Daphnia pulex: one gene and its partner. The protein of the gene in region 1 binds, or shares a complex with, the protein of each later gene. Links are inferred from orthologs where the notes say so. Each region holds a gene or a part of one and is shown in the gene's direction. Other genes may lie near its edges. The genes, in order: DNA repair protein REV1-like and DNA polymerase eta-like.

Region 1 (4,538 bases):
CGATTCCAGCTCAGTTCTTTTACACACCGAGCTGGGGGGGTTTGTGTACAATTGTTTTATAGCGAATCACCACTTGTTTCTTTAAGAAGATTCTTCGTTGTTGCGAACGAGCCGCATCCGAGTTATTTTGGTTGCGCTTGGGAATCACATTGCAGGTTTCAGCAGTTGACTGCCGGCTGCTCGTCAGCCGAGTCTATATTTAAGTTCGCCCCATATATAGTGAGAGAATGTGCTCTACAAAAAGTATCTGTGCAATGCAAAAGGGGATTACCACCATCTTCTCGAGAAGAAAAAGTTCTTTTTATTTTCCAATTCCTTATAATGCTGTAGGGAATAAAGCAACTCTCTAATCTTGTTAGATGAACTTATGGTCTCATTTGATTAGGCACGAGACAAGTCAGAGATGTAGAAACAAGTCTAAGATGTCGTGGATCTATTATTATTACCGTCAATACTGCGAAAAGCTTTCACGTAGCGCGGATTGAGACAACGGGTCGTTGGGTTCCATGTCGACAAAACATCAGCGGGCATTATTTCCTTCCGGTCATCCGACAGATTGAGTTGTGCACAAAGAGAACACAAGGCCTGGCCGCCCATCTCTTCATATCCACTGCGGATAATGTAACTGGTTTTCCATTTCAAGTACCTCTCGTAAAGTGTTTGGTTGCCATCGAGCAACAGCAAGTAATCGGCCAGTTGTTTGGGTGAATAACTCAGGGCGTCGATAAATGAATACGGCGGAGCAATGTCGCTGTAATTGGCCCTACCCATGACAACTGGCACCACGTCAAGCTTCAATATCGAATAGAATTTCTCCGTGACGTAATGGCTGCACAGTGAATTCTCAAACGACAGATAAAACTTGTATTCCTTTTCCAGCATGTCGTAACATTCCGGATGTGAAATCCCCGTATCAGAGTTCCATTTGCATTTCAACGGACCGCAAAGACCAAAGATGTCGATAGGGATGTGCTTCTGCAATTCTCTGACGTAATTTTCTCGCCGACTTTGAGTTGTGTTGCAATGCGAAACAAACCAGGCGACCAGTTTTGTCTTTTTCCTTATTAGATAAGACTTGGATTTTAAATCAACCGCTGCCCGTTCTATCCGGCCATACGGATAAGGAATGTTTGATTCGGGCAGATAACTCATGGTCCAGTTGAAATATCCGATGTAATCCTTTTGGACGTTTTCCTTGTGATAGAAAGGTGATTCTTGGCTGAAAAAGATGTAATATTGATGACTCTCCCGTGTGTCGGCTGGTGGCAGCTTGTCAGACTTTTCCAGTTGATGAAGCACAGCCATATTGAAAATAATGGCATCAAATTTGCCCAGTAAGTTTGATCGACGATCAGTTGTGACTCGACAATTCCTGTACGGACACGAGTTATTGTTGGGCAAACTTCTAAGAAAGACTTTCATTTCGATTCGATCGTAACCGTTCCACAATAGAATGTTCTTCGTCTGATGGGACTCGGATAACACATCATTAGGGTGGATGCGCACTATTACTCTTTCCCGAGTGATCGATGTCTGATGATAACAAATTATAGTGATCACAAACATTATTATAATTCCAGCCAAGGATAAGTACCTAGAGACACAATAACGTTGTTCCATTTCTGGGAAACAAAACTGGCAGTTTATCGTCTTCTTCTGATTAACACACAAATACGAATGAAGATAATACCCCTGGCAAACCATCAAATGAAAAAGAGGATACATGTAATTATCTCCGGCCATCATCATCTGCTATACATTTGGGAAGTTTTATAATTGTTCAAACAGGAAATACTTTGGGCGTTCCTCTTCCCATGCTCTTCCTTTGTTTCCTACATTTTGAGATTTGTTTTCCTGATAACATTCAAATCTTCTTTAGTAATTGGCATATCTTTTTTTGTGTCTTTCCACACTTTCAAAAAGAATAACAACAGTCCTGATCCAGTAGTTTTATTTAATTTTTTAAAAACTAAAATTTCAAAATATCTTTTCCGAACACGCGATTTACAATATCTGGCAATGCGCAATTTCTTCTGCCATCTAGTGATATTTTTTGAAACAATTTATGTAAACAAACGTGCACAGCAAACTCAAATGTAGTGGAAAATTTTCTTGCAAGTGTTGAGATTTTCTTTTTTATTAAACGATGGCTGGAAGGGGTAAAAGGAAAAATAGGGACGATAATGGATTTGCAGAGTGGGTGAGACGACTTATTCGACTTCTGACACTACTAATTATGTTATTCATATTTGGAATCATTATTTACAGGGGGGTTATATGGCAGCAAAAATTTCTAAACTAGAAAATCAGTATTTGAATGAACAATTCAATGAAGTACAAGAAGATGATAAACTAAGCAATGTATTTTCAAATGTTGCAATTTTTGTCAATGGATATACCAGTCCAACTGCAGAAGAACTGAAGCGCATCATGCTGGCCAATGGAGGAGTTTACCACCATTACTATAATTCAAAAACGACTACTCATATAATTGCGTCCAACTTGTGTGGTGCTAAAATCAAGAAACTCAAGGGCGACGAAAAATTTGTTAAGCCAGAATGGATTGTTGAAAGTCTGAAAGCCAATATGTTATTGGATGTGAAGCCCTATTTGCTTTACACTGGGCTAACTTTAGACAAAGGGCAACAAAAGTTGGACATTGCTTCAATACAGAAGAAAAATGATGACAATCAAACAGCAATAGAAAGAAAAATTGATGAAGCACATTCCTCTGAACCTGTTCCACCTGGTGATATTACTAGACATTCAAGAGAAATGAAACGCGCAGGAGAAGACGATTTTTTATCTGAATTTTACAAACGCTCAAGGCTTCACCACATTTCCACAATGGGAGCGTTATTCAAAAGACATGTGACTGAGCTTCGAGAGAAAAATGATGGTGTTTTTCCAGGTACAATTTTGATAGCAGCATTTTATTAATGCAATTACATGTAATATTTAAAAATTTAGGTATGGAAAGTATTGAAAACTGGAAGAACTTGACTGGTTGCCTAGGAAACTACAAGTGTGAAGAAACTGTTTTCATGCACATTGACATGGATTGCTTCTTTGTCTCGGTTGGACTGCGCAACTATCCATCGTTGGTGGGTAAACCGGTTGTTGTGACCCATGCAAGAGCTGACGCTAAACCGCTTCCAAGACGCGAAGGCAGCAATCGAGAATATGAATTCGACTGCTATAAAGAACATTGGATCAAAAAATCGAAATTTTCAGAAAATAACAGCAATGCTGTTGATACGGTGGCTACGCTTTCAGATGTTTTTCCACGACTTCAGGATTTGGATGAAACTTGTTCCATGTCCGAAATCGCTTCGTGTAGCTACGAAGCTCGCGCAGCTGGAATTTATAACGGAATGTTCATGGGAGGTGCCTTGAAATTATGTCCTAATCTGGTTGCCATTCCGTACGATTTTGAAGGATACAAGGAGGTAATACATTTACAATCAATTATTTAAAATCTTTAATTCATTTTTCCGTTTGTGGGCGTGTTTAAGGTGTCCACCTCGCTGTACAATACTGTTGCCGCGTACACTTTGGACTTGGAAGCCGTCAGCTGTGATGAGTTGTACGCAGACATTACCTCCGTTTTGCGCCAAAGTGGACTCACGCCAGCCGAGTTTGCTACTCATTTGAAAGAAGTCATCTTTAATAAGACACAATGTAACGCCTCTGTCGGAATGGGCCCGAATATGCTGATGGCTAGGCTTGCAACCAAAAAAGCCAAACCGAACGGACTGTTTTATATCAACAAGAAAGACATGAATGAATTTATGAAGGACCACAAAATTGAAGATCTGCCGGGTGTCGGAAGGTCCATGGCTCATCGACTTCATGGCATGGGCGTTCGCACTTGTGTTGAAATGCAGCAAGTATGTGTACATAGCTTCTATTTCATTAAACAAATATGTAATTGTGTTTCTGAAAATCAGGTAAGCTTGGGAAAGCTCCAACAAGAGTTTGGTCAAAAGCAAGGACAAACATTATATCATATGTGCCGGGGAGAAGATAAACGCGCTCTAAAGGTATTATCTCAGTCTCAGGTTAACTTTCCATTTCAAAATTGTTAATATTGCGTGGTCCACATAGACGGACCACGTTCGAAAATCTGTTTCGGCAGATATAAATTATGGAATTCGTTTCGCAAATGATCAGGAAATGCACAAATTCGTTCAAGAACTGTCCATTGAAGTGTCCAAACGAATGGAAGAAATTCACGTAATTAATTTAAACATTTTTTTAACAGCGAAAGCAATTTTAACTTTGTTAAATGTCTCTTTAGGTGAGAGGAAAACTGTTGACTTTGAAGCTCAAAATCCGCGCCAAAGATGCCCCTGTAGAAACAGCGAAATTTATGGGTCACGGAGTATGTGATAGCATTTCTCGATCCACAACATTGTGTTCTGCCACTCGCGACACCAAAATCGTCGAAAAAGAAGTTCAAATCCTTTTGAAACAACTCAAAGGTAGTACGCTATATACCTTATCCTGCACAAACCATATTATTCTAACCCATCTCA
Region 2 (4,549 bases), on another chromosome or scaffold:
CGAATAGGACAACGACAGCCGAACATATGGAGAAAGGATCGAAAAGGAAAATGTTGTCTGCTCTACAACGTTGCCGACATTTTGCATGTGTGTCAAATGCGTTTATTTTTGCGGTTTTTGCAGAGATGCAGAGATTGCAGACGACAAAACAAATGCTGCACAAGCACAACAAACGTTGGCCTTGGGCTCTTGTCTACATTGGATAAAATATTTAAATGGTCAAGAGGGTTTTACTTGAGAGTATTTTTACTGCAATTTTTGGGTTCTACATCTAATAGAAAATTTTCAAACTTTGTTAAATTCTCGGCGCTAGAAGTTGTGTAATATTTCCTGGATCATTGTAATAAGTGCTTTATACAGTTGGACCATGGATCAAAATTCTGTTAGTATGTGTTCCAATTTGGATAATCAAAGTGATTTTAGTGATTGCAAACATGAAACACCTAAATTGATCCAGTCAGCATCTGAGAAAAGAGAAGACTCTAGGAAACAAGATGCTGTGATATCAAATCTTAATGGAACAACTCAATTACCTATATTCAACCAAACTGAAACCTCAACATTACCAGAAACTCATCAATCAGAATGTGACAACATTACTGACAATGATGTTGAAGAACTCAACTTGGCAAAAGAGCAAATGATCACTTATGTGGCAAATAGCCAAGCGGAAGATATTTTCTTTAGAAGCCAGCAACGTGATGAACCAGCACTTACAGCTGAGGAGAAGAAAAAGATTGCAGCGTCAGTGTTGAAATCAAGTCCTTCAAATTTCTTAGTCAGGTTTGGAAAAATATTGAATCCAAATCACCTGACTTACTTTCATCAATTTGAAAACAACTATGAAGTTTTATTTCATCTTCAGCAGCTGGAAAAACAGAATAAATTAACACAAACTAGTGTTAAAAACCTGCGTTTCCATGCAATGAATGAAATGATAAAAGAAGGGAAATATTTCAGCATGGATGAAATGAGGAAAAGAAACCCAATATTATTTCATGAGCTTGTTGAGAAATATATGTCATCAGATGAAAAAAGATTGTTAGAACAGGAACAACCAAAGCTATGTAATCTTTCAACAATTTTCATGGCCCACATAGATGGTGATTCTGAGAATTCTAAAAGGAGAAATGAACAACGAGCTGATCAATCAGCTTGGGATGAGGCATTAGCTTGCGAAGAGGAAGAAGAAGAGGATGATGATGATGATATAGATCAAGAAGAAAAGAAATTCTTCCGCGATGAATTTATATCAAGTATTATTTACGATATATTTATTTATTTTTTTTTCGATTAATATTTACCATTTTTTAAAGGTATGTATAGTAGCTTTCTCAGTGGGCGTGATGAAGAGTTCGACTACAGCCAAATTGATTCTTCACATCCCAAAGACGATGTCATATATGAAAGAGATGCCGAAGAACGATACTTTGATAGTGACTAACACAATATTAATTCGCTGTATGAAATCTTCCAAATGTCATGATTTGTAATGAAAGTAAATAAAAAAAAAATTCAATAACAAAATTGACTCGAGTACATACAGTCATACAGATTATCCGTGTAAATTGAGTATTTGGTGATTGATTATATTCGAATTTCTTTTTTTTAATAATGTAAACGATTAACAACATTTTTTAAACAAATTTTTATTATGTATGAGAACTTCAGAGGTAGCTTAAGCACCAGGTTGAAGTATGGCGGGTTTAAGTTTTGGCGGGAACTAACAAGCAGACAACTCGAGAGGAATGTGTCAATGTGGAATTGTGGATGTAGGTTGTTTACCGATTAAAAAATCTGCTCGGGAAGATATACATGCTAAACTAATATTAAATGTGACAACTTATTAAGTTTAAAAAGTCAATGTCTAAAACAACTGGGAAAACGTGGTCCGAAGGGTATCATTTTGCTCCAAACAGCTCAAAATACCTGGCAGGAGATCCAGATGTAAAATTTGTCGTTTTTGATACGTCGCCAGATAACAGTGAAGACGAAGAACTAGTTCCTTGTTTGGAAAGAAAATTGAACGATGGTATTGATCAAGTGAAGTCTCAAGAACCAATACTTACAAAGGAAATTAATTTGGTTTTGTCAAAAAGTGATGACAATGAAATTGATAGTCAGTGTTCCACATCAAGCAATGATCTTCCATTGAGTCCTTCCACCAGAGAGGATATGATACAATACTTGAACTTTTGTGCATCAAAAAAACTTAAAAGATGAGTGCTGAAGATGAAAAACGAGTTGTAGCCTTGATTGACATGGACTGTTTTTATGTTCAAGTGGAAGAGAGAGAAAATCCTGGCAACAAAGGAAAACCTGCCTGTGTGGTGCAGTATAAAAAATGGAAAGGGGGTGGTATTATTTCTGTAAATTATGAAGCTAGAGCGCAAGGAGTAACTAAGCAGATGAGAGGAGATGAAGCCAGGGAAAAATGTCCAGATTGCATTCTTTACAGAGTACCTGAACAGCGAGGAAAAGCTGATCTCACAAGGTAAAAGTATTTTTCTAAATTTATCAAAAAAGATATATATAATTTTCATAATTTGCAATTCTAGGTACAGGGATGGAGGAAAAGAAGTCATTGATGTGATGTGCAGCTTTGGTGTCGTCGTAGAGCGCGCCAGTATTGATGAAGCATACATAGACATGACCGCGGTTATAGATAAAATGCTTTCAGATTCCACAGGTTGGTTGAAAGTAAAATTCAGCTTGATGAAATTCGTCATTCACTTTGTCAATGTCCTACTTTTACTAATATAGCCACTGCGATCGATCTTGAAGAGCTTCCAAACACTTACTTTGTTGGATGGGGGAACGACACAGATGATGTAAAAGGTCGGTCATTATTTTACATGCTCTAGTTCTATTACTACAATATTTCCTATAAATTCGTAGGTGTACACGGGTGGTTACAAGCGTTATCGGAAGGAAATTGCAACGATAATGACTGGAAATTAACATATGGTGCTATTTTGGTTGAAAAGATGCGCGCTGCTGTTTATGAAAAAACCGGATTTCGTTGTTCTGCTGGGATTTCCAACAATAAAATGTTGGCGAAACTAGCTTGTGGTATGCTCTTATTTCTTTTCTTTTTTTTTATTATGAGCCTTCAAAATGACTTTTTTTTTTCCTATAGGCATCAACAAGCCCAACAAGCAAACCGTTTTGCCTTTTCGTTCCGTTGAGGAATTTTTTACGACGTTCCCTTTAAAGAAAGTTAGAAATCTTGGTGGTAAACTTGGTCTTGTTCTACGAGAAGAGTTCCATTGTACTACTATGGCAGATATCGTAAAAATTCCCGAGCGGGTCTTGCAGGAACGTTTTGATAGTAAGACGGGGTAAGTTTTCTCGCTTTCATCTTTAAATGCCTCTCATATTTATTGAAATCTTTGTCTTTCAGCACGTGGCTTTACTGGTACGCCCGAGGAGTGGATCATGAGTCGGTCAGCTCCCGCAGACTGCCCAAGTCCATAGGCTGTAATAAAAATTTCACTGGTTTAGCTGCACTAGATTCTCGGGAGAAAATAAGCCATTGGCTAGAAGAGTTATGTGCTGAAGTTTCTGAGCGACTCGAGAAAGACCGGGAAACGGTAAATCCCATCACTCTTGTACCTCTTTTTCGTGTGTTGGCATAACATATTTTCCCTTGAAAATTTATTTTTTTAGAATAATAGAACGGCAAAACTATTAACTCTGACGGTTCGATTAGAAGGCGATATACGACCGTACTCTTATACTCGTTCAATTCCTCTGACTTCTTCATACGAAAAAATGCACATGGCGAACGCTTGCTTGGCAGTTATTAGTAAAGAAAATCCTTGTTTCAAACAAGGCAACACTAGAGTTCCAGTGGTTGTTACCTGCCTTGGAGTTTCAGCTAGCAAGTTTGTTGATCAACTGGAAAATAATTCCAGGATCGATCGCTTTTTTGTCACTAAAAATAGTGCTGAAACCAACAAGGAAAAAGAACCCTATGCAGAACAGGAAGCATTGCATGAAAACGATGATCTAAACGAAAACAGTACTGATCAGGAGGATGAAGAAAATGAATTTGTAGAAACTGAAAGAATCTTGGATATTGAAGAAGAAAGTATTACGGCACCAGAACCAAATACAGCCGACTCTGCTTCAGAGTGCACTGAAGCAGAGCCTGTATCAGTCCATAGAGAAATGAGTTCAATGCCTATTTCCAATCAAGATAACTGTGGAATAGTGAAAAAAACTGGGTTTTTTGCTTCTCGTTGCCTTGACAAAAACACTCCAATACAATCAGCTAAAGAATCTGTTCCTGAACCAGCAGCCCTGAAAATGGTGGGTCTTCAAGAGTCATTCTCCGTTGAAGAACTATTTCCAGATTTAAATCAAGTTGATATGGATACCCTAGCTCTACTCCCGCTTCATCTACAGCGCCAAGTTTTACAAGCAATCGAGGCTAGGAAAGGTAGTTATGGAAATGATAAATTCGTTGTATGTGACAAGTGCAAACAACAATTTCTCCGAGAAGAAATCGAAGAACACAAAGATTTCCATTTGGCGTCCGAATTGC

The links.
Region 2: the proteins of DNA repair protein REV1-like (region 1) and DNA polymerase eta-like are in contact, whole or in part, in an NMR structure (PDB 2LSK), measured with the Homo sapiens proteins. The link is inferred for Daphnia pulex from reciprocal best matches to the Homo sapiens genes REV1 and POLH. Residues at the interface, in NP_057400.1 of Homo sapiens: Asn1158, Leu1159, Ala1160, Gly1161, Leu1171, Leu1172, Trp1175, Ile1179, Asp1181, Pro1182, Met1183, Glu1185, Asp1186, Gln1189, Val1190; in NP_006493.1 of Homo sapiens: Thr528, Glu529, Pro530, Phe531, Phe532, Lys533, Lys535, Ser536, Leu539.

Annotation. Positions count from the first base shown.
Region 1 is NC_060017.1:8,178,461-8,182,998, forward strand, and holds the start of DNA repair protein REV1-like, read left to right. Parts: upstream 1-1,678; 5' UTR 1,679-2,146; coding exon 2,147-2,200; intron 2,201-2,268; coding exon 2,269-2,911; intron 2,912-2,970; coding exon 2,971-3,449; intron 3,450-3,515; coding exon 3,516-3,890; intron 3,891-3,950; coding exon 3,951-4,043; intron 4,044-4,107; coding exon 4,108-4,236; intron 4,237-4,300; coding exon 4,301-4,484; intron 4,485-4,538. Other genes in the region: alpha-(1,3)-fucosyltransferase C-like, read right to left, coding at 418-1,620. UniProt on the Homo sapiens protein: Deoxycytidyl transferase involved in DNA repair. Transfers a dCMP residue from dCTP to the 3'-end of a DNA primer in a template-dependent reaction.
Region 2 is NC_060027.1:5,025,420-5,029,968, reverse strand, and holds the start of DNA polymerase eta-like, read left to right. Parts: upstream 1-1,723; 5' UTR 1,724-2,219; coding exon 2,220-2,494; intron 2,495-2,558; coding exon 2,559-2,689; intron 2,690-2,763; coding exon 2,764-2,838; intron 2,839-2,898; coding exon 2,899-3,072; intron 3,073-3,139; coding exon 3,140-3,341; intron 3,342-3,403; coding exon 3,404-3,593; intron 3,594-3,669; coding exon 3,670-4,549. Other genes in the region: coiled-coil domain-containing protein 97-like, read left to right, coding at 368-1,256, 1,317-1,444. UniProt on the Homo sapiens protein: DNA polymerase specifically involved in the DNA repair by translesion synthesis (TLS). Due to low processivity on both damaged and normal DNA, cooperates with the heterotetrameric (REV3L, REV7, POLD2 and POLD3) POLZ complex for complete bypass of DNA lesions.